Linked DNA regions of Arabidopsis thaliana. The protein of the gene in region 1 interacts with the protein of each later gene in a pairwise test. Each region holds a gene or a part of one and is shown on either strand. Other genes may lie near its edges. The genes, in order: HB-1 and CHR17.

Region 1 (15,656 bases):
GATGGGTCCAATAATTCATTTAATTTATGAAAACAACAGTAGTTGTGGGTTCTACGTGGTTAAATATGTTTTTCTTTATAGGTTAAAATATGAAAAAAGCATCTAGAAGATAGAAGCAAAGGAGAAGAAGAGTCAGCGGTCCAATTTTTGGTGATCATCTTCCTACCTTGCAATCATAATTATTCCCTTAAGCTTAATCATTTCACTTTAATTAAGCTTTAAGAATATTAGAGTTTATTTCACATCCCACCTTCTCCCACTTTCCTCTTCTCCTTTTGGTTGGCAAGGTAAATAAAAAAGGAAGTCTTTTAAACAACTATTTTCGATTTATTTAGTTTCCATTTGAAGTTCTATATTGGTTGTATTGTCCAATCGAAATTTCCACTTTCTCTGCTTTTGATGCATGTTCTATGCTTGCGTTGCGTATATTATGTGTAATATAGCATGCACATTGTTATGGATATAACAACATCAAGTTTAATAATATGCTGATTGAATAAATTCATACAAACATGTCGTCTTGCAAAGATCTTTTAATGTCATTAGTTCATCATGGAAGAAATTTATATGGATGTTTCATCTTACAAAGATATTTATATGATTTATGAATAAAGTGTATATTAGATTTACCACGTTGATTGGTGGCACGGTAAAGAGTGTTTAGGCTCGTAATGTTCGGGGAACAAGCATTGCGATAAGCCGAGACTGCAGAGAAGGAGATAATAGTTCAATAAGGATTATATTTGTGACATTTAAGTGGTTTGATTGTTAAATCAATCATTTTAAGAAAAAAGATTTAAATCACATTTACTATTTATCACCATTTTTGGCTATTTTATTTCTACTCAAATTCTTACCAGCTTTTATTCATTAGAAAATCTTTATTACATTCACTAACATATTTCTTATGTACAAGACATTGACTGAGTGGGTTTTGTAGCAGTGTCGCAAAAGTTTCACAGCATATCACTAGTATTACGGGATATACAAATGTAATGGGTTTGAATTGAAGATTCAAAAGAACTAAAAAACGCCTTTTTCTTTTCGTATTCAACCTGTAATTGAAAGAAGAAGAAAAAATGAAGAATGGATCACTACGCCACTAAAAGGGGTCTCTCTCTCTCTCTCTCTACCTTAAACCATCTAGTGAAAGTACCTTTTACCTTAAAATAAACACAAAACGCTTAAACTGTAATTGTCCAAAGAATTTTCAAGACAAAAGTTGCAAGACATAGAAGCCGAAGATTGCGAATAAACATAGCAATGATTTGAGAAAAACACAAACACAACTCGTTCAAGTCCTCTCTCCAAAATGCCTCTTTTCTTTTAGTTTTGAGACAAAATCTTTTTTTCTGGCATATACCTTTTGACATTTAATGGTGAGATTTTGCATGAGTCCAAGGACTAAGCGATTCTCCTTTGGAAGAAATGTATGAAATCACAACCACACCCTCGCATGCGTATTGTTGAGAATCATTTCTTGTTCATCGACAACTTTAAACAAGTACTAGTAGGAGAGAGCCCTTAAGCATTGGAGATTAACACATGAATCATTAACTTATACTTAACAAAATAATGAAATTGTTAATTATGATAACAAAGGCATTTGCTAAATATATGCCTTGGCTTGGCTTTAACAACTGCACCAAAACTAATCAGAAATGTTCTTCTTCTATAGGTGAAAACCTATTCTGCTACTATCTCTCTTTTCTCCTACATAAAAATATATATATATATCTTCAACAAGAATGTAATCTTCCCTCTTCACAAGCTACTAGATCTCAACTTCATGAATCGCTGCTGCTGTAACCTTCTGATTCTCTGTCGTAATTGTTTGCTGCATTATTAGCAGGTACATCATCATCTTCAGAGCTCTCACTCATTTCTGCGTCATCTTCTCCTTCGACCCGCCCAACCCCCACAACTTCTTCTTCCTCGTCTTCCTCTATTGCCACATTTAGGTTACTATTCCAATCTAACCCCCACTTGTTTCTCTGACTATAATCCACAAACTGACCACCACCATCTTCATCCTCTGATTCAACTCCTACACTGTTGTCACTTTCATCATCCACTTGCATCGGCGTCATCATTCTGTTTGGTGTTTCATTGGCCCAGTCCTCCTCCATCTCTCTAGGAGTTTCACCTGCTGCCCAGTCTTCATTAATGTCTCTGAATGTTTGCTCTTCTTCTTCCTCATCTTCTTCAACTTCTTCGCTTTTAGGCCTAACAATATTAGCCATTCTATTGACTAGGTGGGAATTATCCTCATCGATCCTCTCTGGTCTTTTTCTAACCGTCCTCTTTCCTTTTCCAGGGACTTGGTGGTTCAACTCAACGGCCATTAAGTTACTATTGACTGCAACATTTCTCCTACCAACGACAAATTTGTTAAGACCGCTTTGCGCTTTCTTCCTCTTCACCTTTCTGTTTGATCCAGATCCCAAGCTTACTCGTGCACGTTTCTTATTTCTGTTACCCGGGTTTGGAGCAACCTCGTCTTGATCTTCTTGCTCTCTGGGTCCTTTGCCTTTGAAAGGTGAATCTCTAGGGAAAAGGCTCTGCAATACGTGGGTAACATAAGATTCCATAACCATAAAAAAAAAATAACTTCCAAAGTATTAACTTAGAAACAATTTTCGAACCAATATTGGTCTAGAAAACTTACAATCTGCTCGTTCTCATCTTCAGGGATGACCTCAGGTTTCTCTGGCTTCACATAAATAATGGATGCATCAAGTTCTGAAAGTCTCAAAGCAACCGCTGATACTGTCTTTGGTATCCATGGAAGAACGTCCACTGATCCCTGATCATCAGCCTCAGCGTTAGCAGCTCCCAAAAGCTCCTTTGCCGACATAAAATTGGATGACAAAGATTCTTTCTTGATTGCACTCTCTAAGGAAGTCAACACCTATCAAAACCAAAAAAAGGAAGACATCGGGTTTAAAACAAAACATCATTCCAATTTGCATTAATTTAGAGAAAGAAAAACAAGATGATGGAACCTGCAAAAGTTCTCCAGGTGATGATGAAGTATTCAACCTAAACCCCCATTTTTTTCTTTGGTCCTCTGTCCAAAATGATTCAAGAGCTTCATCTGGAACAGATGCCTGTCAATAAAAAGGGAGTTGTCAAGTGTTGGTACCAAAAGAACCGGCGCTTAAGTCGACAAAAATCATTTATGCTTTACCTCGAGAAAAACAAGTAGTGGTTTGAGCAACCTGACTCCAAAAGGAAGAGGAGACACAGCCAAACCTGAATCTAATATCTCTGAACTATCAACCACGTCCAATCTCTGGTGACAAGAAGAGCAGAAGGTATACTCAGACAAATAGGAAGCAACACACGCGTCACATGTTGCTAACAGTTCAGATCTCTTCTTCCCATATTTTCTAGCACAAGAAGGTAGTGAACTGTACGTCTCGGTCCACATCCATCTCTGGAAATCATGGAACCGTTTTGATAAATTCTTGTTCTCGGTGTCATTTCTACCTAAATCAACTCTAATTGAAGTTGAAGTTTCCATTGAATCAGAGTTTGACCCTGATATAGCACTGGACGATGGGCTCACAGAATCTGTAGGAGAATGATTCACAACACTCTTTTCCGTCAAGAAAGGGTTTCTAGCTAGCTTTATATCTTTACAAGCATTCTCTTTGAATGATCCCTCGATCTTCTGCAGCATTATGCGTAAATGAGACTCTCTGATCCCACGCATATCCAATGATGCAACCAGAATATCAAAAGCCTACACAGAACAATTTCACAGAAGGCATGGTTAAATCTCTATCTAAGCTGGATATTAGCAAACCAAAAGGCAATCAAAAACCTTAAGCTAGAATCTTTTAACAAATTGCTGAGGTTGTTATATTACCTCTTCTGAATCAATGAGGAGCCACTTGCCATCATGTAGCTCAACAAATAAGAGCCTCGAACAAGGATCACTCTTAGACACTGATACAGCAAAATGCCAGTAACGATTGTGGCGCCGATCTTGTCCAAGCGGCAAAGATCGGTATGGATACACCTCTTCTGCTTTGTGGCCTATATATGACTTTAATTGGGAGCGTGATCTCTTTGAAGCATAATTTTCTTGACTTATATTGGCATCCTGATTAATAAGTGCTCTCTCAGCAGATGATTTATGAAGATCGTTCGAAAGATCTTCCAGGGGCTTTGTTTCATCTAGAAGTTGAGAAGGGTCTCTATCAAAACTATCCCTCTCACGAGTAGAGCTTTGAATGATTGGTAGGCCTATCGTTGATTCAGTTTTGCTGCTTGCTAAGTTTTGAAGATCAAGCTTAAGTACATCTCTCATACAGCTGTTATCTAACTGTGCTTCAGCCCACATTTGCTTTTTAAGAGCATTTGCTGCTTCCATACGATCCTGTGAATAAATTTCAATCAGATAACAAATAATAGACTCAAAAGGTCAATTTCTACTCTGTTCAACAGGAAAGCTGATAAAAGAAAACCCAGACTTTACCTCAAGACCTGTTCTGATGGAGTTTCCTTCATTGGCAATGCCGACTAAAGCAACAAGGGCATTAAGGCGCTCTTCAACACTTAGATGACAGTAATCCCCTTCCGTAAGACCTTGAATCCATGATTGGCCCTGGTTGCTTTCATCAATTACGGCATCCACGCCGCCAACCACTGTATTTTTATGCCGCTCACTATGTTGTGGAACAATGCTCTTCATAGTGCTTGGAGGAGGAGATGAAAACTCCTTCTCAAGCTCACTCTTTACATCTGCTTTAACATCACAGAACATTGTATCTACCCCCTTTCCTGACAAAACATTCGCTTCTCCAAGAACGGCACTTTTTGATGCACTTGCCAGTGTAGCTAAATCATCAACCTCGGGATCCTCATCAATATCAATTTCGAAGTCTTCATCCCTTTCAAGATCATTCACATCTTCTGGACCTGTAAATCCATTTTCAAAAGCCCGTATCTTCTTCCTGGCATCTGCGAGTATTGCCTCTCCATCCTTAGGATCCTTCACATAAGGAGCTCGTACACAATAAGTCGAAGGAGCTATTCTTTCAAAGAGTTTCACATCTCTTGTCAATGCAACAGAAATAGAAGCCTCTGGTGTCTTGCTTGTGGTCAAGTCCCGAAGTCCAGATTTCTTTCAATGGAAAACATAAAGACTATGTAAATGAAAAAAATTCAAATACGATGAAAACAGCATAGCAAATATAGATTATAGATTTACCTGAATCTTGTCAGCAAGTTCTAATACTGTCAGTCCCTTGCTTCCTTCAAGAGATAGAACATGAAAGGCTGCAAATTTGACGGTTCCAGGTGTCAACCGGTGCCTCGACTTGCGAGGAGCGAGCAACCCTTTCTCCCGCATCGATGCAAAAGCACTTTCAGCTGCTGTACCATTTCGGATAGTAGAAATGACATCTTCACAACCTTTAGCCTGCATACACAACCAAACCAAAACAATGTGTAAGAAAAAACGAAAACCATCTTTATGTCAAAGGCCTAGCTTAGCTTCCAGGATTTCATTTTTATTTCTCTCCATATATAGTACTACCATCACATCCTGAGTAAACACTTGTTAGGAGTTAGGGGGCGCCCAAACGTGAATACGTACCTCATCCTTATCACCAGTATTGGTCAATCGGGAATGTTTTTTCTTCAGCTTAGGTCCAAATCCAGCAGAGAGCGCTAATTGTCGCAGTATTTCAGGCCATGTTAGTGGGTTCAAATGCTTTTTCCAACTACGAATGTCAAAACCCCATGCATAAGCCTGAAGGAGAAAGAAGCATATGAAAGATGAAGCCCACTGAACAAAACCAGCAAGAGAAAAGTATATTAACATACAGAGACGAAGAAAGCTACCCCTTCAACTATTTGCGGATGTCCACCCTCAGGATTGGCTGTAGTATATTGGTTATTTCCAATTCCACTAAAGGGTGTTCTAGCAACATCTTCGACATCTCGTATTATTGATCTCAGAAGAGTAACATGTATCTCCCCCAGCAACCTTGAGTCCTACAATAGGATCTTTATCAAATACAGAGCACGAACAATGAAATGAAAGAAACAACTATAGAACACGAGAAAACAGGCTATAGGTACTAAAGAGCGACTTACATAGTCATGAAAAGCCTGAATAAACTCATCCAGTGTAAAAGGCCATAGGTCAAGAACATCAGAAAATGATATCAGGAATCTCCAAACCTGAAAAGCAATCACAACATAAGATATGTGAAATCTGCAAAAGGGTGCATAATACACGGAAAAACAAATCCAACTGATTTCAAATTGGTCTCCAAGTTATTCTGATCATAATACTAATTTTAAATGAGAGGTAGCAGCCGGAGAGAGGGTAAAGATCAATACAACATACCATTAGAAGGTTTCCAACAGTTTCATCAGAATCTTTCCATGGAGAAATGGCAAACGGCATTTTTAGTTGCAAAGACTTTGGTGGAAATGTGCTCAGAGAATCTGAAAAAGCAGAATAGCTATGATGAATTGCAGGAACCATAAATAAATTACAACACTGTAATAAAGCTAAGCCAATCGAGTAAGGTATAAGCAAATTACTTTGACTGTCTTGATTTTGATAAGTATATGAAGAAGATAGATTTGTAAGAGAAAGCAAATACAAAAGCTACTACCCAATCTAGAAATCAATGTAATTACAATAAAATAATCTTCGCAGTGTTCTAACATGCTACATCAACATTGAATATTCCAGACTAGGCCATAGAATATACCAAACTAAGAATATAAAAATTAATACTAAGCTTAAAATTTCAGAGAGGAAAAACACTAAAATAAATTACCAAAAATTATTGATTGTAAAGCCTAAAAACTAAGTAGACCGTTAGGCCGTGATTACCAAATCCACTACTAACTAAATCTGAGAGACCATACCTCTATACACCTCAAGATTCTGCAATGTGTCGTGATCAAGCTGTAATACTGAGGGTAATCCTTTGCTAATAGCAGCCAATTCCATTAGTTCTAGCTGCTCATCTTCAATAAGATCCATAGACTCCTTGGCAATTCTACGTGCAGTTGCCTTCTCAATGGCAAGCTTGCGTCTAATAGCGTCTTTCTCTCGACGAATCTCGTCTTTTTGCTTCTTTTTCTCAGCCTTTAACATGTCAACAAAAAGATAATTTTCACTCTCTGAACTCTTGCCACAAAAGTTGCTCAATCTCAGCAGGATTAACAAAAAAATACCAAAGAATAACAACTGGGCAGAGTTTTCCAAACTTACCCTTTCATTTTCTCTCTGTAAGAATTTTTCTCTTCTTTCTACTTCACGACGCTGCTCACGCTGTAACCTTTCCTCTTCTTTTATTCTTTCACGCATCAACCTCTCTTCTTCCTTACGCCTCTCACGCTCGTTCCTTTCCATCTCTTTTCTCATGCGTTCTTCATTCTGAGGACACAAGCATCAACTCATCAATATATCTGTTACAGTGATACTAACAAAAGACAATAAGACACCTTTCCAAATAATCAGTAAGGAGGATAATAAATGTAGAGCAAATACCTTTTTCCTCTGAATTTCTAGCTTCTCAAGATCTTTTGGTCCATGATTCTCTCGGGTTTCACTCCCTCTTCCAAGTCTACCATCGTTAATCTGTGAGAGTAAACATAGAAAAATGACATTACAACAAAGACACATCTTGTCAACAAAAACGGATGAAATAAAAGTTGGTACAATGAAGCTACCTTTCCCTTTCTATGCACATCACTACTCTTACGCACTCCATCAGGTAACAAATATGGATCTTCTGTACCAAGGACTGATGAGTCCTTCTCCAGCAGGAATCTATCACCATGATGCGCTGATTCAATGGGGCTTGGCATGTCTTGTTGAGATGTCGAACAGTTACGAGACGCATGTCCAGGGGTAACATAGGACCTTGGTACAGGTCCATTCGCGTGCATAAATGATGAAATTCTAGAACGTGCAACTTCATAGTCCATACCACGTGCATGATTTTCAGAGTATCGTTCATACATATTAGGTGTAAAAGAAGACGGATCATCCAGAGATTGTTGCTCATGGAAAGAACGGGCAGCAGCATGAGACTATAATCAACAAAAGCAAATATGTTAAGCAAAGTAGTAAAAAGAAAATATTATAAAACTGTGAATACATGAATGGACAAGAAAGAGAATAGAAACAGCAGAGCGGAATTCATCTTTCTAACAATGATCAGAGACTAAAAACTGCCATAAGACTAATGTCAGCCTTCATGTAATGAGAACTCTAAAAATTACTCCTACCATATAATTCATAGACCATCAGTTTATGGTAACCTCTTCAACTAGTCAATTTGAGATATCTAGGTGCATTATAAAGAAACTAAATAGAGCATATCTGTTTAGTCAGAAAACTAACTCTTCGAGGTCGGGGATCATGTCGCTCATACAGATCGCTCTCATAGGGATGAAGTAGGTGTTTCTGCATCGCTGAAATGCCAATGAAAACAAAGTTAGAGAGTTACTTATCACAAGAAGTGTAATACTAACACTGACATTGGTTACACAAGTCATAAAACAGGGCAAACATAGAAAGTAATGTATACCTATAGGTGTTCCAAACGCACCAGGAGGCAAAGGATCAAACTCCATGCCAAGAATAGGTCCATCATCTCTCAATGGCTCACCTAACTGAGCCTCAATACAGACAATAGCTCTATGCACCATTGTCGACAACCGCGACTCATAACTCGGCTTTCCCATTGTCTCATATTCATCCAATTCAGCTCGAGAACTACTACTACCACTAGCAAAATTCCTCCTAGAGTTGGAATAAGGACTGCAACCAGACTCAGAACCCGAATCAGATCTGGAATCTTGCTCAGGTACCGATCCAGCAGCAGCCGGTAACTCGTTAACCGAAGCCGATTGAACCGCAGCAACCGATGATTTCACCGGTTTATTAGACTGACCATCCTTCTTGTCCTTTAACCGTCTATGACAAAACCACATCTGTAATTGTCGATCTGACAAATCCAATTTCTCAGATAACTCAGCCCTCGTCGCCTCCGACGGATACTTCTCCTCTGAATCAAAAATTCAACATCAATACTTAAAAAAACAAAGAGAACGAAGATTGAATCAAATTAATTGAGATGAATAAGAACCTGAATAAACTTTCTCCAAGGTTTCAAGCTGAAACGGAGTTTTCATCTGACGTTTAGGCTTGACACGACCATCCTTAGAGGAGGAATTATTATCAATCTTCTTCTTCTTATTATTAAGATTAGCATCACCAACGACGCTCCTGATCTTCTGATCTTCACCGTCAGAACCCATCTCCATGGAAAGAGAAGAAGAAGAAGAAACCCAGAAACGGCCGCAAGAAGAATCAAAGAACACAAAAACAAAAACTAGGGCTTTCTATTGAACAAACAAACCCTGATCCAAAAACGTAAAAAAATAAAAATAAAAAGAAGTAGAATATATAAGAGTAAGAATAAGAAGAAGAGGAAGAACAAACAATAATAATAGTAAAATCGATAAAAACCAAAAAGGAAGAAAAACAACAACAGGGCTTCTAGTAGTAGTAGTAGTAGTACCACTCATCTCAATTTCAACCTCCTTCATATTCCTTTCTTTTTTTTTGCCTTTCTTCTTAATTAAAATCTTGTTTTTTTTTGTTGTAAATGAAAAGAAAAAAAAAATCGAAACTTGAGGATTCTACAGCGAATCGCGTGCTTATGTGTGTTTCTGCCGTTGATGTGTTTATCAAAGCTTTTTTTCTTTTTATTATATAAATCAAGTTAATTTAAAACTAAATTAATACAACAACTCTTGAAGGGCTTTAACGTGCTTTTGGTCTCGTGTTCGTGTTGTTGTCTTTCAGATCCGCAGGCTGGTTGCATGATTATCATATCCCCCAGATTTTTTTTTTGAGGAACCACTTGTGTTGAGAGTAAACATCTTGCCCTTTATTGTTTTCAAGTGTACAGTCCTTGTCGTTTTTAAAACCGGTTCAATACTTCAATTCAGATTTTTTAATCCCGGTTTACTCGCCGTCCCTATGAATCACAGAGGAATCGAAAGAACCTTTACGAGGAAGCTTTGACTCGAAATCTCTCTGAAGAAGAAGAGGAGAGACGAAACTGTTGGCTTAGTTTCCGACGCCGGGAACGTCGGAACTCCGGTGAACAGAGAATGGGGCTGCATTTGGCTGCTCTGTTTTTCATCATTTCACCACTCTTCGTTTTCTCCTCTCAAGTCCAGCAGCAGATCGGTTCTAATCAGAACTTGATCAATGATCTGGACTCAGCTAAGCTCAGAATATCTCAATTGGGTAAAGTTTGTTTCTTTTTGTTCGTGGTGGTTTTGGGTTGAACCACCAAGGCTTCTCTTTTTTCTTTTTCTTTTTGCTAATTGTATTGTTTTGTTTGCTGGGAATCGATTGGCTCTGATCGTGTAGAAGCTGTTCTTGAGGCGACAATACAGAAGTTGGATGGTAAGACCCTTTACTTGAAAGAGCGTGAGAAGTTGATCCAAGTTGCTGAAACTCAGATCCTTGATTTGCAGTCTGCTTCATACATTGACAAGGTTGGTTTGGTTCTCTAAGGAGAATGTATTGAACATTTAGTTATGTTAAGTAGAATTAGCTAAAAGGCTTTAAAAATTTCCTCTGCTGATGAGGGAATGAATGTGGTAGGACACTCATTAGATCGTATGTGCTAGTCTGAGGCTCTCCTATGATACCCCCTTTCTGAATAATGTTTACTTGAGAAAACTCAATGCCCTATTGAGCTTAATCATTATAGTTGTAGCTGCCACTTCTGTATAGTTGCCACACCTTTGTTGTAGGATGTCTAAGTATTGGTGATACGAAAACTTGCCTGGTTGTATGATAAGTACTCGGCTCGTAATGTTTTATCCCTCTTCTAGTTGTATTTGAATCAGTTTATAAACCCTTAGAAGATTGTACTGAGTTTGATTATGTTGCTGCTCTTGAAGTAGGGTCTTTGTTTCTTCTGTTTGGAGCTAGTTTCTTATCTGAAATGTATATTGTGCCATCACTTTATCATGGTAGTTGCATTGCTAACACTTGTTATTTGATCTCAGAGCGGCTTACCTTTGGTTCAAAAGAGGATAAGCGAGTTAGAAGAAGAGGTCTGTTCAGTCATGTGGCTATTCTATTCTTTAGACTAGTTCTCAAAATGTTTTTTTCTATTGGTTTATTTCCCAAATTGTGTTCTGCCAATGCTGGAGCTACTTATTCTTCAACTCCACTAATCTAAAGAACAGGGTTGGCAATGGTAGGTGAAACTTCTATGGGCTGCCTTGAGAACAACCAACTTCGAGCTACACGTTTTAGAGGATAAAGCAAGAGAAGCTAAGAATAAACTTAAAGCTAAGGCTTTGGAAGTTGAACAGGTGATTATTGGCTTTTCTTACTTCACCCATTCCTTTAATCTTCTATCCAAAGCAGAAATTATTAACTATTCTTGGTAGTTCAGAATCATCTCTAAGTTCACTTCAGTTTAATTTCTACAAAAATTTTGATAGATTCCTTTAAACTTTGAATATATATGTTTGGATCTCAGAGAACCAACATAAATCGGCATAAAACTTGTTGTTGTTAGGTATTTAAGCATCTATTAATCTATGTAACTAAATTTGTTATGTGTAGTACCAAATTACCCCACTTTTGTTTGGTTTTGTCCTTGTCTTGTTTTTGTTTGTCCCTTTGATGTGGTAGCAAATGAAATCTGTCTGTTTCTGATATGTTTGTATGAAAATGAGTTTTAGATTGTTGCTGTCACCAAATGCTTCAAGCTCTTTTGGCACTGACCTACTTCCTTTATCATTTTTAGATGACAGAAGTTGTTACGGAGCAGTGGATTCAGGTTCAACATCTTGAGCAGGTTTTTAATTTTTGCCTTTAAGTTTCTTTCGCTTAATGCAGTTGAATCTTGTGAGTTGTGACCAAGTGGGGTATAAATTCACGTCACTGATGATTGTTCCTATTGCATCTTGAAGATGAGAGAATTCAATAACCGAAGGCATCACACACCTAGCAGATGCCCGTTCGTGAAGGTAAATTTCAAATCCAGCTGTGGACTCCCAGTGATATGAAATCTGAGGAATAGACAATTAAACCGTCGTTTAATAATCTCATAGCCTCTCATTTCTCCTTTGTGTATCTGTATTTAGCTCATGAGCGATATCCAAAGAAAACATCTGCCCAAAGTTGATGAAGCATTTGACATTCACTGGAAGGGAAAGAAGGTTCTCTCTGTGCAACCGTATCTCACAAAAGCCCTGTCACAGTTAAAAAGCCTCTGGGCAGCTGTTACCAAATATCACCACCAGGTTTTGTTTCAGATAATCACATTTCACAATCTCCAGTATTTAGATCGAATGAATCTGTAACCGCGCTTTGCTTTGATTCTTTATAGTTGCAAGGCTTCATCGAGCATGAGATGGAAAGAACCGAGATCACAGCGGCTCTCGCAAACAGAGAAGTGGTGTTTTTCATGGTATGTCAGTTCATATTTTTCAGAGCTTGTAGATGGTTTAAATCAATGTTTGATTTGTCTGATCCTTAATCACATCTGATTAAAAATGAAATCTCCAGGCATCTGCACTAATTACCTTCCCAGTGTTTGGAGCATGGATGTTACTCTCTTCCTAGTTTGGTTTCTGGATGACATGTTCAACCGATGCATCAGCAATGTTCAGATTGGTTTTGCTTCTCATTGCTCAAGAAATTGTCTAGTTTTAAGCTTTGAGATCCGTAGGATAATCCTAGTAGGATCAATTACATCCGTGAACAAACCAAAATCCGGTTACTCTGTGGTTTAAAGTTTAAACCAGTTATTATGGGGCAAGGTGCACAGTTGTATCCAAGTTCAATTGTTGGAAATTGAATTTGTTATTGAAAAAAGAGACAAAACCAAAGACATGCAGACAAAAGTCAAGTCCTTGTTCGTTGTTTTACCGTTAGATGTTTGTCGTAAGTAGGAGTAGCCTTTGTATGGTTTAACGTGAGATGATTTTACTACATGTAGTGTAGTGAAAGTTTATATATACAAGACCACATTATTGGAAAATGAAAGTTATTTTACTAACAAACAAATTCCTTACACATTCTCACATTCTCTCTGCAAGAAATTCAGAAATTCCATATTGTAGTACAATAGATTGAGATCAGTCATTCATTTTTAGTGTGAAGCTAATCAAAGATCAACCTCTCTTCAGGATAATGTAGGACAATAGGTTGAGATCACTCATTCATTATTATTATCTTGGTTTAGTTTATACATTTTCAGCATAATTTTCTTAACTAGTTGTTTGGAAGTTTGATCTTTTTCATTATCTAATAAAATGAGATGACCAAAAAACAAAAAAAACAAAAAATCTTAATATAACTAGTTGTTATTGTAGCATGGAAAACTACATTTTAGTATGTATCCCTTAAATTACAATAAGTCGAGATTGTTGATGCAATGGTCCTACAAAGTACAAAGCTCGACTACTCCCACCACACGACCTCTCTTTTGTCGGTCCCATTCCGCTAGTCACGCCACAAAATCTCCCCAACACTTTCGAGTTTTTGTCTTTGATTGATTGAATTAACCTCTTTTTTTTTTGGTCAAACCATTATTAGTAAATCTTCCACTTTGTTTTTTTCTTTTACCCTTTTTATTGAATTTGGTACTTTTATTTTCATCATATCCTTCTTTTATTTGTTTTTAAAAAATGATACAATACATGCTTTCTTAGTTATTTCAATTTCAAAGAAGGAAACATGCACTTTATTCTTCTCATTTATGTTGGGAAATCCTTTTAGCTTTTAAAATGGTTGATAAGCTCTTTGTATGTCTCTACGTCTGAAAACGTGAAAATACCTACTCTCTCATACTCATCCCCGCAAATTACTCAATGTTGCTTGACATTATAACTTAATAACATTTGTCTCTTTTTCTCCTTTTCTGTTGACAATTTTTTTGTTTGCTTTTTCTATAAATCCTAGTATATTTTGTTCATATATGTTATCTACTACATGGGAATCTAATTCAAAAAACAAAATTCGATATTTTTAATACTTTTTTTTTAAGTGCATATCTTAGATTGTAGATGTATTATGAGGAAAGAATAAGATACATGAGGACATATAGAGTCAAGAAATTTAATCACTGACAATAGAGACTAGAGAGATTAGTGGCTTAGGGTCACATGATATGTGTATTGGTGTCTCCATAGTGATCAGTGGGATTGGGGCAATTCCCACTAACCCTCCCTCAATCCTCGCATTATTACTCGCCTCTCAATTCCTCCCTCTTTGTTTTCTTTTTAATATCCTATTTTCTTTCTCCTTTTTTGGACATAGTGAAACCACACCAAAGAGCAACGACGACAAAGTTTTAGTTTACAACGATGGTTCATGTTTTGATGGCTCATTCGCCCTGGCTTCTTGTGTTAAGTTATATTGAGACAGTGAAACAAAAATTCACATAGTAACTTCAGATATCAATGTTGATCGGACCAAATACCCCAAAATCTATTATTCTTGTTTGCTCGTATTATAAAGCAAGAATGATTACGAGTAGTACATGATGATAAAGATTACTGAATTTACTGGTGCATTTCAAATCAGCTTTATATAAGTGTGGTTTTGTCTGACCATCCGAAATAATCAAATACTATAAGTTTGCTTGAAGATCGGGAAAGTTGGAGACATATACTATAAAGTGATTTTTACATAAGAAAGCATCTCGAGGCTATTCAATGATCAACATGACACTGTTATGTCGATTTGTTAGGGGTAAAATTAGGAAGAATAATGTTTATAAACAACACACATTTTTCTAGCTTCTCCATGTTTTCTCGGAATACTAACAAAATGTTTTCTTTTATTTATTTTAACTATGATTAATTAAGGTACTTAATTAAAATAAGTAATTTTGGACGAGATGTATCTTCCAACTAATGCTACCAATATGAAAACTTTTATGATAGGACTTGAATTTTGGTTCCAACTCCTAAGCTGCTAAGCAACAATGAGTGTGACAGTATGATACGGATGAATGGGAAAACTACAAAAGCCTTATCTGTTCCTAGTCCATATTTGTTGTGTTTCCAACAAGACTACTAAAATACGATCCATGTTCTCATCTCAAATAAACTAGTCGATAATTGTAATTTGGTAAAGTTAACAAACCAAAAGGATGGTTAATAACCTTTTTCTGATAAACTAATCTTATAGGCGAGAAAGCTGAGCTACCTCTTTGAAAAATCATCTCATCCTAATGGACCCACCATCAACCATTATCACCTATCCAGTCCCCATTTCCACCTAACGACTTCAAATTAAAACACATTAAAAAAAGTCCACAATTTCTAAAGAAAAAAAGGTAAAAGAAGAAAGAAAAAGAAGCCACAGAGCTTAGAATCTTTCAATATATATAAGCTCACACTAGCTCTCAATAAACCCACAATATCTAATTGTCTCTTCTCTTCTCTCTATCACACTACTACTACTCACATCATGGCTTTCTCCACTAGAGGCTCCCTCTTATTCTTCTTCACTACACTTGTTCTTCTCTCCACCCAAATCCATGCAAGAGACAGTTACTTCTTTGGAAAATTCCACAGAGAATCCCCCAAAGATCAAAACCCTAACAGTTTCATCCCTC
Region 2 (15,656 bases), on another chromosome or scaffold:
TGAAGCTGAAGAACATATGAGGAAGAGAGTTCAAGAAGAATGATGAGTAGTTGGGGACGATTAGGAGGGGAAGAAAAAGTTTATTTTCAGGTGATGTTTTTGGGGTTTTTTTTTTTTTTTTTTTTTTTTTTTTTTTTTTTTTCTTCTTGTTCAATGGGTTGTATATGTAATATGGGAGGGAGGATTCGAGTCGATTTTTATAATTTTTCTGTACTATTTAATGTCTCATTGTGTATGGATTCAGGTTTCGAGTCTACAGACAGAAGGAAAAGAAGAAAAAAAATCTATCTTTGAAAGACTTCTCTTATCATCTACAAATCTACATTTGTCACACTCAATTGGGAAGTTGTGACAACATGAGAAGAGACGAGAGAGTTATGTTTTGTTCAAATCCGACCACAAAAGTTGATTTGAGATTTACTAAAAACGCACTACTAGGAATGTGGTGAATATTTCTACAAACAAAATAGAGTAAAATACACGTTGAAGAAATAAGAGAAGTCGGAGACAATGCAGTGATGCTTGCGGGTACAAAATATTAGATCCTTGTCTCTAAGGAGCTTCTTCTAACTAATTCTCCGATTCGGAATCAAACCTAGAAGTGATCATAAATCTTTCTGATTACTTAGTGATGGATTCAACACAAGCCTTCTTATTTCCTACGCTTTCCCTGCAGAGACATAAAGTTTTTTTTTAGTTAGGATCAGAAATAGATGGTCTGTCTGCTTTGCATGAATTAACCAGTAAAATGAAAAACTCTTTTTATGTTTTGGAAATGATTTTGAGTACCGAGCTCACATAATCATCCATTGACAGCTGCTTTCGTTTCTTCAGAAGAGATGAAGGGCTCTCATTTGCTTGCCTACCCGAAGGTCGTTTTGATGGCGTTGCACTCTGAAACAAGTTGTAGAACAGATCATGAGAAACAATTCCACAGCATCTCATCAGTAAATGAAAATGTAAACTTAAAATGTTCTTCGCACAAAAAAAAAAAAATGTTCCTTCAAGTCCTCACCTTTGAAAGCTTCTTCTCTTTTCGGGCTTGCCTCTCTCTCTCATCAAATTCTTGATTCTCTTTCTCAATCAACCTGATTAGTGTGTCACATCTCCTTGCAAGTTCCTGAGTTGTGCGGGATTTTACAAACCAGTCAAACCTAAACAAGGGGGATGTCCGAAACGCTGCCTTTAGCTCATCCCAGTTTCCATACCCAAGTTTATGGACCATGCATATCTGATAATCACAAGTTCATCGGGTCAATATCATATTAGAATAAAACAATAACAATGAAATCTCAACAAAGAGTTTGATAAATAGATGTCATACCATGAAACGGTCGCACTCTTCATTGTACAGCTTCCCTTTGTTCTGACCATATTGAATCTTCAGTTCCAGCCACGGGTTTCTGTAGCGATCCAGTTTCTTCCCAATAGCTTTCATGATTTCATCTTTCCTAGAGATTCTTGCTTCCCCTCTCTCAATATTCTTGATGATTCTGTCGTAATCTACAATTTTTACAAAGGAAAACAAGAGGCAGAGCTTACTTAGGATAAATATCCAACTTTGTCGCACTGCAAACACTCATTAACTTTACTTAACAATCTAAAGTTACTAACCATTCAGCTCTTTATATCGCACTTGGAAAACTTGAGCATATCGTTCAACCTCTTCCTCAGTTTTCCCTTCCATCTCAGAGGCAATACTCTTTATGTCGTTCCGGCCATACTTCTCACAAGCCCTAATGAAGGCATTGAAGTCTCTTCTGCTCCATGTTGAGAAACCCTAAAAAATATCAACTCCATTAAATTATAAAAAAACCATCAAAAACAAATGTCAACCCACAGTAAGGTCGAATGGTTTGGCTTGCCTCTTCCAGCAATAGCTCCTTTTCTTCCACTTCTTCAGCAGTTAAGGGATCTCCAACTTCTGCAAAATTATTTCTTAAGTAATAGATTCAGTAAAATAATGTAAGAAAAGAGGGCAAAGACTGAGAAAGACCTTCAGGTTCATCAACCTCAATTGTGTCTTTCATTTGAGTTTTCTGATGTGCTTGCTGAAACCAGAGTGAAACAAATTGCTATTCAGAACTAATCAGACACAAAAGCTGCATAAATTACATAACATGTTGATAAACTTGTTATTCCCACCATAAGGTATCGCACTTCTTTTTCATACAGCTCAGTCAGCCTCTGAATGTTAAAGAACTGAAAATCATGCCTGCAGGATGGACAAGAAATTAGATTTTTACGATAAAAGTACTATAAATAAGACAGGGAAAAGGCTAAATGCAGAGTGGAGACAATTGAGGTACTCACAATTGGGGCATGCGTGGAATTCTAGGCTCTTTAGGTTTAGCTGGAGCACCTTGTCGCAACGTTTGCTTGAAGTATTCAACTTCAGAGTAGCTAAAGGGTGGGTAGAGAAAAGTAAATTGTTGAAGTTAGATATTGTTTAGGAAGACAGGATAGACCACGTAATGAAAAAGTAGAAGTAATATTTACTTGCGCTTTCTCTCTCTTTTTGGTGGATCATTCCAATTTTCACTCACAATCTTTTTAAAATCCACCTTGCTCTCATCCTACCAAACAAAATTAAAAAAGAAATCAGGAAACGATATTCGAAAAACTGCAGAGCATAACCACAGTATGCGTTAAACCTTTCCTTCAATCATTCAATTAATTATCCAAGAATACCTTGTTGTCATCGTCAAAATCATAAAAGTCAGCACCTGCAACAAACCAAAAACTATCTTGTTTGGACATCCCATTACCCATGCAAGGGAGTTACCATTGGAAAAAGGGATAAATAGCACACTTACTGTCATCCATTTTAAACTGTATTGCATCTTCAGTAAATTTCTTCATCTTGGCATCAAGTTCAGCCGTTGCCTCTTCTCCTTTGGCAATGATTCTGTCAATATCCTCATCCGTAATTGTGCTATCTTTAGAACTAAACACCATTTCAGCACCATATCTCACCATTTGAAGCAACTCATCCTTATTAACAGCTGGAAAGCAAAGAAAAGAAATCAGTATATATATGTAAGAGAAAATCCAATACATCTAACAGCCTCAGTACACAAGCACTTACTTTTCTGTTCTGCCAATCTCCCTTGCTGAATAACCAGAGCATCAAGTGCCAACTTCTTGTAAGCTCTCTCAATGACTTTAGCCTCAATAGCATTCTGCATAAGACCAATGCAGAATTAGTTCAAGTTCTCCAGGTCATTCTTACTTCATACACATGGGTACAAGAGTAACCTCGGTGCAGAACCGGAACACTTGAACTTCTTTTTTTTGACCAATCCTATGTGCACGATCCTGAGCTTGCAAGTCAACTTGAGGGTTCCTGCCATAATCCACCCACCTCATTAGGCATAAAAGAAAACACTCATAAATTACAATGGACACAAAAAGAGCCTTACCAGTCACTATCATAGAGGATCACAACATCTGCAGTAGCAAGATTGATACCAAGTCCTCCAGCTCTAGTGGATAACAAGAAAACGAATTTCTCACTTCCTGGCTTGTTATAGGCTTCTATGGAAGCATCTCGTTCGTCACCACCAGTATTTCCATCAATACGGCAGTACTGGTAACCACGATACATTAGGTAATCCTCGAGAATATCCAAAAGCCTTGTCATCTGATACAGATGAGCAAAATCGTTGGAATAAGCACAAAGAACCAAGAAAGATATCACTCAGAAAAAAGGAATCAAAGATAGGAACAATTATTTGTTTGCGTTAATGAATACCTGAGAAAATATCAGAACCCTTGAATCTCGATCCTTCAACTTAGGTAGCAATTTATCTAAGAGAACCATCTTACCTAGAAACAAGAACATGTAAAGAGAAAATAACTAAGCCAATTGCCACATTTCTGAATGATCTACTTGTAATGTAAATCTTACCTGCGTTTGTTACAAGGTGATCTCCTGTAGTATATGGGGGACCAGGCTCCGCACCCTGGAAGAGATAAGGGTGATTGCAGCATTTCCGCAATTGCATTGCTATGTTCAACAGACGTTTGCGTTCTCCACCACCATTAACCACTTCAAGATCCTTCTGCAGTAAAGCCTTGTAGTACTGTTTTTGCATTTGAGACATGCCAACTTTGAGTATTGTCTCCTTTTTTGGAGGTAAGCCTTTCTCTACATCTGATTTTAACCTCCGAAGAAGAAATGGTCGCAGAACCTACAAAGATGAGGTAAATGATTAGCATAAGAACTTAGAGAATAACCTTGATAAAATATGAGTACATACCTTGTGAAGTTGTTGAACAACTTCTTGCTGGTCGTTTTCACCAGAAATTTGAAACCACTCGTCAAAAGTTTCTGCTGAACTAAAAACCTCAGGGAGAAGAAAATTGAGAAGGGCCCACAATTCATGGAGATTATTCTGTAGTAGAAACATATGAAATGAATACAATATTAACTCAAGCAAATCAAGTACAGAAGATAGTAAGAAGCATGTCTAAGGAACACGAAAAGAAAAAAAAACTAAGTTCAACAGACTCAAGCAAGAAAGTAGTTTCAACATAGGCAGAAGCAATCTGACAGAAAAATTGAAGGATCTAAACAATTATAGATCAAAAGATTTGACAAGTACCTGAAGGGGGGTTCCCGTGATAAGAAGCCGATAGTTGGTGCTGAAAAGTCTCATGGTTTTCGAAAGGAGTGAATTCTCATTTTTAATTCGATGTGCTTCATCAATGATTATATATCGCCAGCTAAAACGGCGCAATGTTGTCTTCTCTTTGATAGCCATCTCAAAGCTTGTTACACAAATGTCGAATTTCCCTGCAACTAGCAGTTCTTCACGAATATGTCTCTGCATTATTTAAAATATATCTCAGAATCCTGCCAGGTGCATATAAATGCAACCATTCAAATGTAAGAGCTATTATGACTTACTCTTTCCTCGGGATTACCGAGAAATTTCACAGCACGCAGGACAGGACAAAATCGGCGAATTTCATTCATCCAGTTACCAAGGGTTGATTTTGGAGCAACTACCATATGAGGGCCATTAATTCCCCTGTACTCATGCAGGTAAGCCAACAAAGAAATGGTTTGAAGCGTCTTCCCCAGACCCTAGACCATGAACAAAAACAATAAAGATTAGCATCAGATAACATTAGAGAGCTGAAAAATCTTATTATATGCTAAGATAATTAGTGGTTTACCATTTCATCTGCAAGAATCCCATTTATGCCGTTCTCATACAGCCGAATGAGCCAGTTTAAACCAGCTAATTGGTAATCTCTTAACTTCCCCTGAATACCTGCAATATGAAGAGTATGAAGATCAGATCTCTAAATTCTACAGAATTTATGCAGTCCTACCTAGAAATTGTGAGCTCGCAACTGAAGAATATATCAAACAACTCTACCAATCAAAGAAGTGGGCATAAGGTGTCAAATCCTATAATAACTTCGACTCGCAATAGGACTTGAGCAAACATACGCTATATCAAGATATTAGGAGCAAAACAAAGGTACTTACAAGCGGGCTGAGTGAGCAACCGTGTGCCTCCAGATCCAACTATACCACCCTCTTCTTCTTTTAAACACTCTTCATCTTCCTCTTCCTCGGTTAGTTTGGAAGAATGGCGACCCCTGACGATAAAGTGAAACCCAATAAATTATATTTCTGGAAACTTAATATGAATAACCACAATTTATTTTGAGATAAGTTGCACTCAACACACCTTCCTTTTCCCTTCTTCTGGGACGGAGACGGGTCACTTTTAGCAAAATGTGCAAATAACTCAGTTTGCTGCAGAAGATACTTTATCCTCCCCTTTCCTTTATTGTTCTAATAAATGGAATGATTGAGTTATTTCAATACCTCTGGATACTAAAGACAAGCAGCTCAGTTATTTACTAACTTACCATATCAGCATCTATGGAAGCATTTTGGGAGTCTAAGATTTGCTGAATTTTCTGCTTCTTCATCTTCTGCATTTCTTTGAGTCTAGCCTTCTCACGTTTGCTGATCTCAGCTTTCTCCTCGTCTTCTTCGTCCTACATATAACCATCAAATTATGAAAAGAGTGACCAAATATCCTCACGAGTCACATGAATGTACCATCATAATGAGCGACCACCCATCATTGTAAGCACTTCTAAGCATAAACCTTCAAACAAAGAGAGTCGAAACCAAAAGACACCCAAATATCGAATATACGCTCAAAGGAAACCCTAATCTTACTTAGAATACATTCAGATTTCCAAATACAGCAATCCCCGAATTCACAGCCGACATGCGAATGTAAATCGAAGAGTGGAAAACAGAAACGAAGACATACCTCTTCAGCGTCATCTTCTACGGGGACAACCTCGTCGTCAGAGACAGGTGCTTCGTCGGGCGCAACATCTTCCTCGTCAGAGCCCGCAGAGCGAGCGACGGCCTCGAGCTCGTCATCATCTTCTTCCACATTGGCCTGATCGTTAACTTGCTCCTCTTCCTCCGACGAGTAAGCCTCGTCTGAAGAAACTTCCCGCTTCGAAGCTCTAGCCATCGACGCGCCTCTACGAATCCTGATTTCGTCTGAGAGATCGAATCGAGGGTTCCTGAGTTTTTTTTGCTTTGGTTAGTAAATAAACAAAAGTGAAATTAAAAGCAACAAACCCGACGTTTGAAACGACCGTAGCTTCTATTTTACCCCGTTGATTTCGAGAAATCAAATCTACGGCTGAGATGTGCCACGTTGGCTTGACTTATAAAGATTCTCCCGCCACTTGAGAAGTAAGAGTTTCGGAAATTCCCGCCTTGGAATTCGGGCTTTAAAGGCCCATGGGCTCGAAGTTAAACTTAGAAGAAAGCGAAAGTCAAAAAGGTCAACTTCTCGTTCTTATAACGGAACGGCCTTATCCATTTATCCGCCCGAATCACGTATCTGACACCTCAGCACTTGAAGTTGCGACACGCTACACACCTAAAATTCCAATAATACCCTTTGAAAGAGCCTACACGCTTGTCTCATGCACCTTTGCGTATAGAGGATGAAAGTGGAAGTTAAGAAAAAAAAAACCGAATATTCGTATTTTAATCGCCGTTTCTTTTCTTCTATTAGCTTCTGTTTCGCAAGATCACGACTTCTATATAATAATATATAAGCTCGCCGTATAATTTTCTTGCCGGGAATAATCTCCGATCATCGTCGGAAATTTCCGAATTGTTGTAAAAGAAGTCCAATTTAGGCTTTGGATCCTCAGTTTAATTTATCTGGGACTTTTGGTTGCTGAAATCTCTTTCGGGTTTTGTCCTAATCCTCATTAGTTTGGGTTTCGTGAGTCTCGTTTTATAAGGTATATTTTTGGCTAATTTGCTTCCGAATTCTGCTTTGTTTTAGCTCAATTTTGCCCTTAACATTGGTTGATGAACAGAGGATGATGTGGTTGTGTTTATTGTCTTCTTGCAGAACATGGGACAAAAGAGATTGTTGTTCTTGCTGGCAGTTTTTACTTTTCTTGTTTCATCTTCATATGGTAGAGGTGGTAATGCAACTTCTATAATGATTCTATGTCTGTTTCCTTTATTGGGACTTCCAGTTTTTTTATTCTCCTGAGTCTCTCTGAGCTTAATTAAGATTTTAAACTTTCTGTGTAATGTGAAGTGCTTGGGAAATTGGAAATTTAATCTGGCTACAGTGATTTTTCATTAAGGCCTAATTACATGTTCTATCATGTTTGGAACAAATCAATTCATAATCCTTGTAGCATCATCATATACATAAGGAACCATGAAGGTCAAAATATTGATTTCAAAGCTTTATGTTTTCGACAATTTCATGTTCTTGGTATGAGTTGTGAGGCTACGAAGGAGTTAAGACTGAAGCAAGTGGATTTATGTTAGCTTCTTTCTTCTAACTGCAGTTCTCAAGTTGAAGAGCGATGATGATCGACCTGTTTACAACCATACGCTTGCCGTCACGCTTGTGGAGTATGCCTCTGCGGTAAGTTAATGGCAGATTAGTGAAGTAGTAAAAGACCTTTGATAATGATTTAGCTTCAAAACGTAATACCCTGTAGAACGAATGTCATTTATATCTAGTGTTCTGCAAGTGAGAAGAAATTACACTTGTCCTCTTCATATTTTCATTTATCATTATTTGCACTACTAGAGAAAAGAGATGATGCTGATAACGTACATAAGATGAGTGAATCAAGTTTGTAAGATGTATGCAGGTCTATGAGTCTGATTTGACAAAACTCTTCACTTGGACGTGCGAAAGATGCAATGGTTTGACAAAGGTAAAAAACACATGTTGAAGCAGATCACTGTTTGAACTTTGAAGCCGCAATTATTGAGTTGAGCTCTAACGTTTGTTAGGATGGTGCAGGATTTCGAAGTAATAGAGGTCATATTTGACGTTGAACACTGCTTACAGGTCTGCTCTGATATCATAAGCTACAGCTGGTCATGAACTCATGATGTTTCTTCATTGAACAATTATTAATATCAGTACATGTAACTTGTAACAACAGGCGTATGTTGGGGTGGCTAAGGATTTGAATGCTATCATTATTGCATTTCGGGGAACTCAAGAACACAGGTTTTATTCTAGTCATTGTAATCTAAAAGCTACTCCTTCGCATAAACTTGGTTAATGCTTAATCAATCCAAAACTTGTGCAGCATACAAAATTGGGTCTCAGACTTGTTCTGGAAACAGCTCGATCTGAATTACCCTGACATGCCAGATGCAATGGTACACTTTAACAACAAGTATTTGTCATTGAGTTGGTCTTGTAGTACGGTGGAATTTGTAATAGTTATCCACATTGGCAGGTGCACCATGGCTTTTACAGTGCTTATCACAATACAACTTTACGGCCTGCGGTTTTGGATGCAATAACACGAGTGAAAAAAGTCTACGGGGCGAACATCAACATCATAGTGACCGGTCATTCAATGGGAGGAGCCATGGCTTCCTTTTGTGGTCTAGACCTAGTTGTAATCATCCTTGCATTGAATTTTTTTTTTATCTTATTGTTTTGTCCTTTGAGTTGTTAATGGCTTATATTGGATACAAATCGCAGGTAAATGAAGGTGAAGAAAACGTACAGGTTATGACATTTGGGCAACCTCGTGTTGGGAATGCCGCTTTTGCATCTTATTACAGTTTGCTTGTGCCCAATACCTTCCGGATCACGCATGACCGTGATATGGTTCCTCATCTGCCTCCTTACTATTACCATTTCCCTCAAAAAACATACCACCACTTCCCAACAGAGGTAACATCACTTTCTCAGTGCACTGGATGTTTATCAGAATAGCAGTTTTAATTTTGCAAAAATCTGGAATACTCAGTAGTGATCAGACAAATTTCTCCGCTTGGTTTATTAACTTTCTGAAAAAACGAAGAAAGCAGTAATGGTGTGTTCCGGGATGCAGGTGTGGGTGAAAGATTTCAGTTTTTCGAATTTTGTTCTTTTTGGTTTGGAGAAAGTTTGTGACAACACTGGTGAAGATCCTACTTGCAGCAGGTAACTATCAATCCCTCTGAAACAACTTACTGATATAATTTCTCTCCACTACATTAGCAAGAACAAACTTCCAAGTCGAAAATTGTGATCGTAATTTACTACCAGATTTCACCAGAGCGATGGCTATTGGTCTTAAATCGTTACAACATGCATATAGGTTTTACATGAATCCAGTATAACTCTCTAGGCAATTGTTGTTTCAGATCGGTAAGGGGAAATAGCATTTCTGACCATTTAAGGTACTTTGGGGTAGAGTTGAAGTGTGAGAGTTGGAGACAGTGCAGCATAGTGATGAATCAAGATATGGAGCGTTACAGCAGGAAAGATTCAAGGGGTAACTTATTCCTCTCGCGGACAGTTCCTCCTAAGGACGTAGTCAAAACAAGTTCTCTATCGAAAACCGGAATCTCTAGTCTGTAGGTATATGTTGATCTCAAGTCTTGAACAAGAGAAAGCTCGCTGGAAGAGGAGGTTTGGGGGATTCAATGTGTGGAGGAAGAACAAGGGTTCTTTGATTCTTTGTGATGGCAAGAGAAGGTGAAAAAATGATTCTGTAAATAAATCCTACGTTGGTAGCATGTAAAATCTTTTTCAATTTAAATGTGAATGAATAATCACATTGTACAGTAGCAGATTCCGAATTCTTTAAATTTGTATCCATCAATTTCTTCTGTCAATTATTAATCAAAGTACAAACATCATTTTACTTAATAGTCAACAGCTTTATTACCAAATTATTTTTGCAACATATTTGAAATGTCTTTTTAATAACTAAACATATTTGAAATCGCAGGTTGTGTTGGGAAAGTGATGACTGTGGAACTAGAAAAAATCTCAAGCACAAGACTATATTAGGGTTCAGGTGCTCCTTGATGTTCGAAATCCTTTGCGTAACTTTAAGGAAGTTCTGCTCCTACCGGGTGAAATGATATCAGTATCTTTTGATTTTGAAAGGATTCGGAAAAGATGTTTCCTTTGTCAACGTCTCACTCATGAGAAAAGTGTTTGCCCCTTTGCTACTGTAGGAAACACTAGAGATTCAGAGGAAGATCATAGGAGTGTAGACTCAGGTTTTCTATTTGGAAAGAAATGCTTACTGAAACCAGGAGAGATGATTGTTCCTACAAAGTTATCGTCTATCTCCACTCACCAAGAATATTCAATATTGCCGGAGGTAAATGATATTCCAAACCATGAGACTGGTGATTCAAAAAGATCTAGTCATCCTTCTGGTAATCTGGACTATCCTACATCTAAAGGATTCCTCTTTGGGTTTAATGAGTCTGGTTCATCTGGATTAAGTATTAAGCAGAAGAATCCAAGAAAAAGAAAAGCTCTTTTAGTTCACAAGAGGCAAGATTCTTTCGCTGGTATAAAAGAGAAAGAGGTTAGTCTTAATATTGAGTTTGCTTCTGCTATCAAAAGGAATAAGAAAATTACAGACTCGGAAAGATCTGATAGTACAGTAAAGTCTCTCATTACGGTGGTTCCTCAAGAACCACCGCAGTATCAATAAGACATCCTTAGTTGGAATTGCCAAGGACTGAGGAACCCTTGGACAATTCGGCACTTGAGGGAAATGAAAAAGGAATATTTCCCTGACATCTTGTTCCTCATGGAGACCATGAATTCTGACCTGTTTATTTTGAAAGTTTTTAGGTGGTTGGGTTATGGTTACTTTCATACTATTGAACCGGAAGGAAAGAGTGGTGGATTAGCAATATTTTGGAACCAACATCTTCATATAGAGTTTCTTTATGAAGACAAAAATTTGCTGGATTTGGAAATATCTCAAGGATGTAAGAGATGGTTTATCTCTTGTGTTTATGGTAATCCAAGGCAGAATCTCAGACACTTGCTTCTGGATAAAATCAGTAACATTGGTGTGAATCGAATGGCAGCTTGGAGTCTGATAGGGGATTTTAATGATATCTTGTCTAATAAGGAGAAGATAGGTGGCCCATCTAGAGTAGAATCCTCCTTTCAGGACTTCAAGAATATGTTATCAACCTGTGATATGCATGAACTGAGCAGTACTGGGAATAGTTTCACTTGGGGAGGGAAAAGAAATGAAGAGAATGGATTCAATGTAAATTAGATCGCTGTTTTGGAAATTCACAGTGGTTTTCTTTGTTTCCTAATTCACATCAATGGTTTTTGGAGAAGCTTGGATCAGATCACAGACCGGTTTTGGTGAAATTTGTCAATGATCAGGAGCTTTTCCGAGGAACTTTTAGATTTGATAAAAGATTTGCTGAAGACCCTCAATACCAAGACGTTATTCACAAAGCATGGATAGGTAATATTTCTTCTCATAATTCTTCTTCTATGCATCGACTGGTTGACTGTAGGAAATCTATTAGTCATTGGAAAAAAGGGAAGGATTATAATGCTGAGAATCGAATTAAGAGGTTAAGGTTTGAATTGGATGAAGAAAAGAGTTACCAATTTCCGTGTTGGAACAAGATTTCTGTTATTCAAAATCAGTTGGGTATTGCCTTTAGAGAGGAGGAATCTTTCTGGAGATTGAAAAGTAGGGATAAATGGATGGCTGGTGGGGATAAGAATTCTAAGTTTTTTCAGGCCTCTGTAAAAGCTAATAGAATTAAAAACTGCTTGAGTTTTCTGGTGGATGAAAATGGTATTGAGCACACTCTCAATAAGGAAAAAGGAAAAATAGCAGAACAGTTGTGGATCTGTTCACCTCTTCTTATCCTGCAAATATGGATTCAGTCTTGGAAGGTTTTCAGACGAAAGTTACACAAGATATGAATCATGATCTCACTCAGAAAATTACAGAACAAGAGATCTATAATGCTGTCTTTTCCATTAATGCTGAAAGTTCACCAGGTCCTGATGGCTTCACGGCGACTTTTTTCCAGACTCATTGGAATTTAGTTAAGAATCAAATTATTGCAGACATTATGGGTTTCTTTGAAACAGGCATCCTCCCTGAAGATTGGAATCACACTCATTTATGTTTAATTCCAAAAATCTCAAATCCAGAAAGAATGAGTGACATAAGACCTATCAGCTTATGCTCGGTTCTTTACAAGATAGTCTCCAAAATCTTATCAGCTAGACTGAAGAAACATCTGCCAGCCATAGTTTCACCAACTCAATCTGCTTTTGTAGCTGAGAGGTTAGCCTCTGATAATATTCTCCTGGCTCATGAGATAATTCATAATTTAAGAACCAATGATAAGATTTCCAGAGATTTTATGGTGTTCAAAACAGACATGTCTAAGGCTTATGATAGAGTAGAATGGCCTTTTTTAAAAGGTATTTTAAGGGCCTTGGGGTTCTGCAACCAATGGATAGGTTGGATAATGGGATGTGTCTCTTCTGTTTCTTATTCAGTACTGATTAATGGTCAACCTTACAGTCATTTCTTACCACAAAGAGGTATAAGACAGGGAGATCCGTTATCACCTTTTTTGTTTGTCATCTGTACTGAAGCTCTTACTCATATCTTAAACCAAGCTGAACGATGTGGAAAAATTACTGGAATTCGATTTAATGATGCAGGTCCTTCAGTGAATCATCTATTATTTGCGGATGATACTTTGATCATCTGTAAAGCAAGTCAAGAGGAATGTTCTCAGATTATGCATTGTTTATCACAATATGGGCATATTTCAGGACAAATGATCAATGTGGAAAAATCTTCGGTCACCTTTGGAAACAAGATTGAAGCAGAAACAAAAGATTGGATTATGCATAGATCTGGAATTCATGTGGAAGGAGGAACTGGCAAATATCTAGGACTACCAGAATGTTTCAGTGGCTCAAAACAGGTTTTGTTTGGCTTTCTTAAAGAAAAACTTTTATCTAGACTCAATGGTTGGTATGCTAAAACCTTATCTCAAGGTGGAAAGGAAGTGTTGTTGAAATCAATTGCTATGGCATTTCCAGTTTATGCCATGTCTTGTTTTAAACTTCCAAAGAGTCTATGTTCAAAGTTGACTTCTGTCATGATAGATTTCTGGTGGAATATGTTGCCTGGAAAAAAAAAAAATACACTGGATTGGAGCTGAAACTTTAATGCTACCAAAAGTTCTGGGAGGCTTTGGATTTAAAGATCTTCAGTGTTTTAATCAAGCTCTGTTAGCTAAACAAGCGTGGAGACTGCTTAGTGATAAAGACAGCCTTCTTTCTCAGATCTTGAAAAGCAGATATTATCTGAATTCAGAGTTCCTATCTGCAACAAAAGGCACACGTCCTTCATATGCTTGGCAGAGTATCCTTTATGGTCGAGAATTATTGAGAAAAGGTCTGAAAAAGGTCATAGGAAATTGAGAAAAAACATTGGTTTGGATAGACAATTGGCTTTTTGAGGGTAAAACGAGAAGACCTGAGAGTGTTCAGGTGATGGTGGATATTACTTTAAAGGTCAGTCAACTAATTGATCCAGTTTCAAAGAACTGGAACTTGAACATGCTCAGAGACTTATTTCCATGGAAAGATGCTCAATTAATTCTTAATCAACGACCAATGCTTTCAAAAGAGGATGCTTATTGCTGGTCAGGTACAAATCATGGTTTATACACAGTTAAATCAAGATATGATTTGAGCAGTAGCCAGAATCATAAGGAGATGTTTCACAAAGCACATGAACAACCTTCTGTCAATCCTATTTTCCAAGGTATTTGGAGTCTATACATAGCACCAAAAATCAAAATTTTCTTATGGAAAGCAGTTAAAGGTGCTGTCGCGGTGGAAGAGAGATTAAGGACACGAGGAATTCTAATCAATGATGGATGTTCTATTTGTCCTGAGGAGAATGAGACAATAAACCATGTCTTGTTTCAATGCTCTTTGGCCCGTCAGGTATGGGCTCTATCTTTGATGCAGTCACCACCTTCTGGATTTGGAAATTCGATTTTTACTAATATGAACCATGTGCTTCATAACTGTAAGAATCAAAGTATATTAAGACTCATGCGATATGCTAGTCCTTGGATCATATGGACTCTATGGAAAAATAGAAATAAAAGTCTTTTTGAAAGTGATGTGTCTATCTCTAATAGCATAGTACAGAAAGCATTTGAGGATTGGAATCATTGGTTATCTGCTCAAGATCCAAAGACTCAGTCTGAAGACACAAAGAAAGAAATGAAATGGATTCCTCCGCCTTGGAATGAATTGAAATGCAACATTGGTGTGGCGTGGTCAAGTAAAACTCAATTAGCTGGTGTTTCATGGGTAGTTAGAAATGATACAGGAGAGGTGCTTATACACAGTAGGCGATCTTATTCTCAGGTACATTCTAACTTTGAAGCTAAACTGAAAAGCTGGGAATGGGCTTTAGAGAGTATGGATAAACTACATGTTGATAGAGTTACTTTTGGAGCTTCTTCTCATGATATTATCAAAGCAATGAATAAACCAGGAGAGTGGCCAGCTTTGAGAGGACATTTGGATGCATTGCTAGATCTCACTTTGGATAAACCGCATTGGTATATGGCAATGGAATTAAGACAGTGTAACACGGGAGCTAATGAGATAGCAAAAAGCGTGATAACAGGATTGAGATGGCAGAGTTATGTTGCTAAAGGACCTCCCCAATGGCTACATTATCTTTTTGACTCTGAATTAATTCATCAGAGGAGTCGATGTTTGTCTCCTTTATAGGAGAATTTTGTGCTGAGGGTCTAAAGAGTAAGTCTAGTTCATACGAAGGACTTCTTGTCAGATAGTCAACATCAGAGTGTTGATTTGTTGATTAGTTTGAGTTGAAAAGTGTCTTATTCTACATCTCCACACGTTTACTTCAGAGTAAGGAAGGGTAAGATATTTGAAATATTTAGCATGATCCATTAGCTTCTAAGTTCCCTATTGGAAAGGAAGTCTGGCTGTCTCAGAAATGACTCAGCAAAAAAGCTAATGACTTAGCTATTCAGAGTTCATAATTAGTGACACATGTTTGACTCAGGATCATGGCTAAATAAACGTGGCCGTTGGTTAGAATAGCTAATAAGGAGGTTAGTGGTTCAATTATGGGGGTGATAGGGATCGGGAATTTCCTTTTTCTTGTCTTATATATATAAGTCGGTTATGTTAAGTCCTATCATCTCTTAGTATCCAAATTAGGCGAGAGTTCTTTTTAATATTTTGTTAGTTTAATATTATTTTAGTCGGTTCTGTTATTTCTCTAAGTCTTTA

The links.
Region 2: the proteins of HB-1 (region 1) and CHR17 interact in a two-hybrid assay, tested with the Arabidopsis thaliana proteins (one study listed by BioGRID).

The regions. Positions count from the first base shown.
Region 1 is NC_003070.9:9,973,592-9,989,247, reverse strand, and holds HB-1 (homeobox-1), read right to left. Parts: upstream 9,771-15,656; 5' UTR 9,313-9,770; coding exon 9,135-9,312; intron 9,054-9,134; coding exon 8,574-9,053; intron 8,458-8,573; coding exon 8,387-8,457; intron 8,074-8,386; coding exon 7,711-8,073; intron 7,619-7,710; coding exon 7,529-7,618; intron 7,415-7,528; coding exon 7,250-7,414; intron 7,124-7,249; coding exon 6,901-7,123; intron 6,469-6,900; coding exon 6,368-6,468; intron 6,199-6,367; coding exon 6,112-6,198; intron 6,010-6,111; coding exon 5,857-6,009; intron 5,765-5,856; coding exon 5,609-5,764; intron 5,432-5,608; coding exon 5,222-5,431; intron 5,135-5,221; coding exon 4,487-5,134; intron 4,388-4,486; coding exon 3,875-4,387; intron 3,749-3,874; coding exon 3,191-3,748; intron 3,111-3,190; coding exon 3,006-3,110; intron 2,912-3,005; coding exon 2,669-2,911; intron 2,562-2,668; coding exon 1,788-2,561; 3' UTR 1,511-1,787; downstream 1-1,510. Other genes in the region: AT1G28410 (myosin heavy chain-like protein), read left to right, coding at 10,168-10,306, 10,433-10,560, 11,080-11,127, 11,278-11,391, 11,832-11,882, 11,998-12,054, 12,172-12,330, 12,417-12,497 and 1 more; AT1G28400 (GATA zinc finger protein), read left to right, coding at 15,509-15,656. UniProt on the Arabidopsis thaliana protein: Transcriptional regulator required for the maintenance of the plant vegetative phase.
Region 2 is NC_003076.8:6,195,538-6,211,193, forward strand, and holds CHR17 (chromatin remodeling factor17), read right to left. Parts: upstream 6,630-15,656; 5' UTR 6,522-6,629; coding exon 6,309-6,521; intron 6,025-6,308; coding exon 5,893-6,024; intron 5,816-5,892; coding exon 5,709-5,815; intron 5,617-5,708; coding exon 5,504-5,616; intron 5,283-5,503; coding exon 5,185-5,282; intron 5,093-5,184; coding exon 4,913-5,092; intron 4,830-4,912; coding exon 4,608-4,829; intron 4,398-4,607; coding exon 4,263-4,397; intron 4,194-4,262; coding exon 3,911-4,193; intron 3,829-3,910; coding exon 3,755-3,828; intron 3,644-3,754; coding exon 3,423-3,643; intron 3,347-3,422; coding exon 3,259-3,346; intron 3,183-3,258; coding exon 3,089-3,182; intron 3,006-3,088; coding exon 2,817-3,005; intron 2,727-2,816; coding exon 2,692-2,726; intron 2,577-2,691; coding exon 2,500-2,576; intron 2,404-2,499; coding exon 2,314-2,403; intron 2,216-2,313; coding exon 2,146-2,215; intron 2,052-2,145; coding exon 1,997-2,051; intron 1,925-1,996; and 13 more. Other genes in the region: AT5G18630 (alpha/beta-Hydrolases superfamily protein), read left to right, coding at 7,428-7,500, 7,879-7,958, 8,191-8,256, 8,346-8,393, 8,491-8,558, 8,641-8,713, 8,794-8,958, 9,045-9,239 and 2 more. UniProt on the Arabidopsis thaliana protein: Possesses intrinsic ATP-dependent nucleosome-remodeling activity. Constitutes the catalytic subunit of several complexes capable of forming ordered nucleosome arrays on chromatin. Involved in the formation of nucleosome distribution patterns.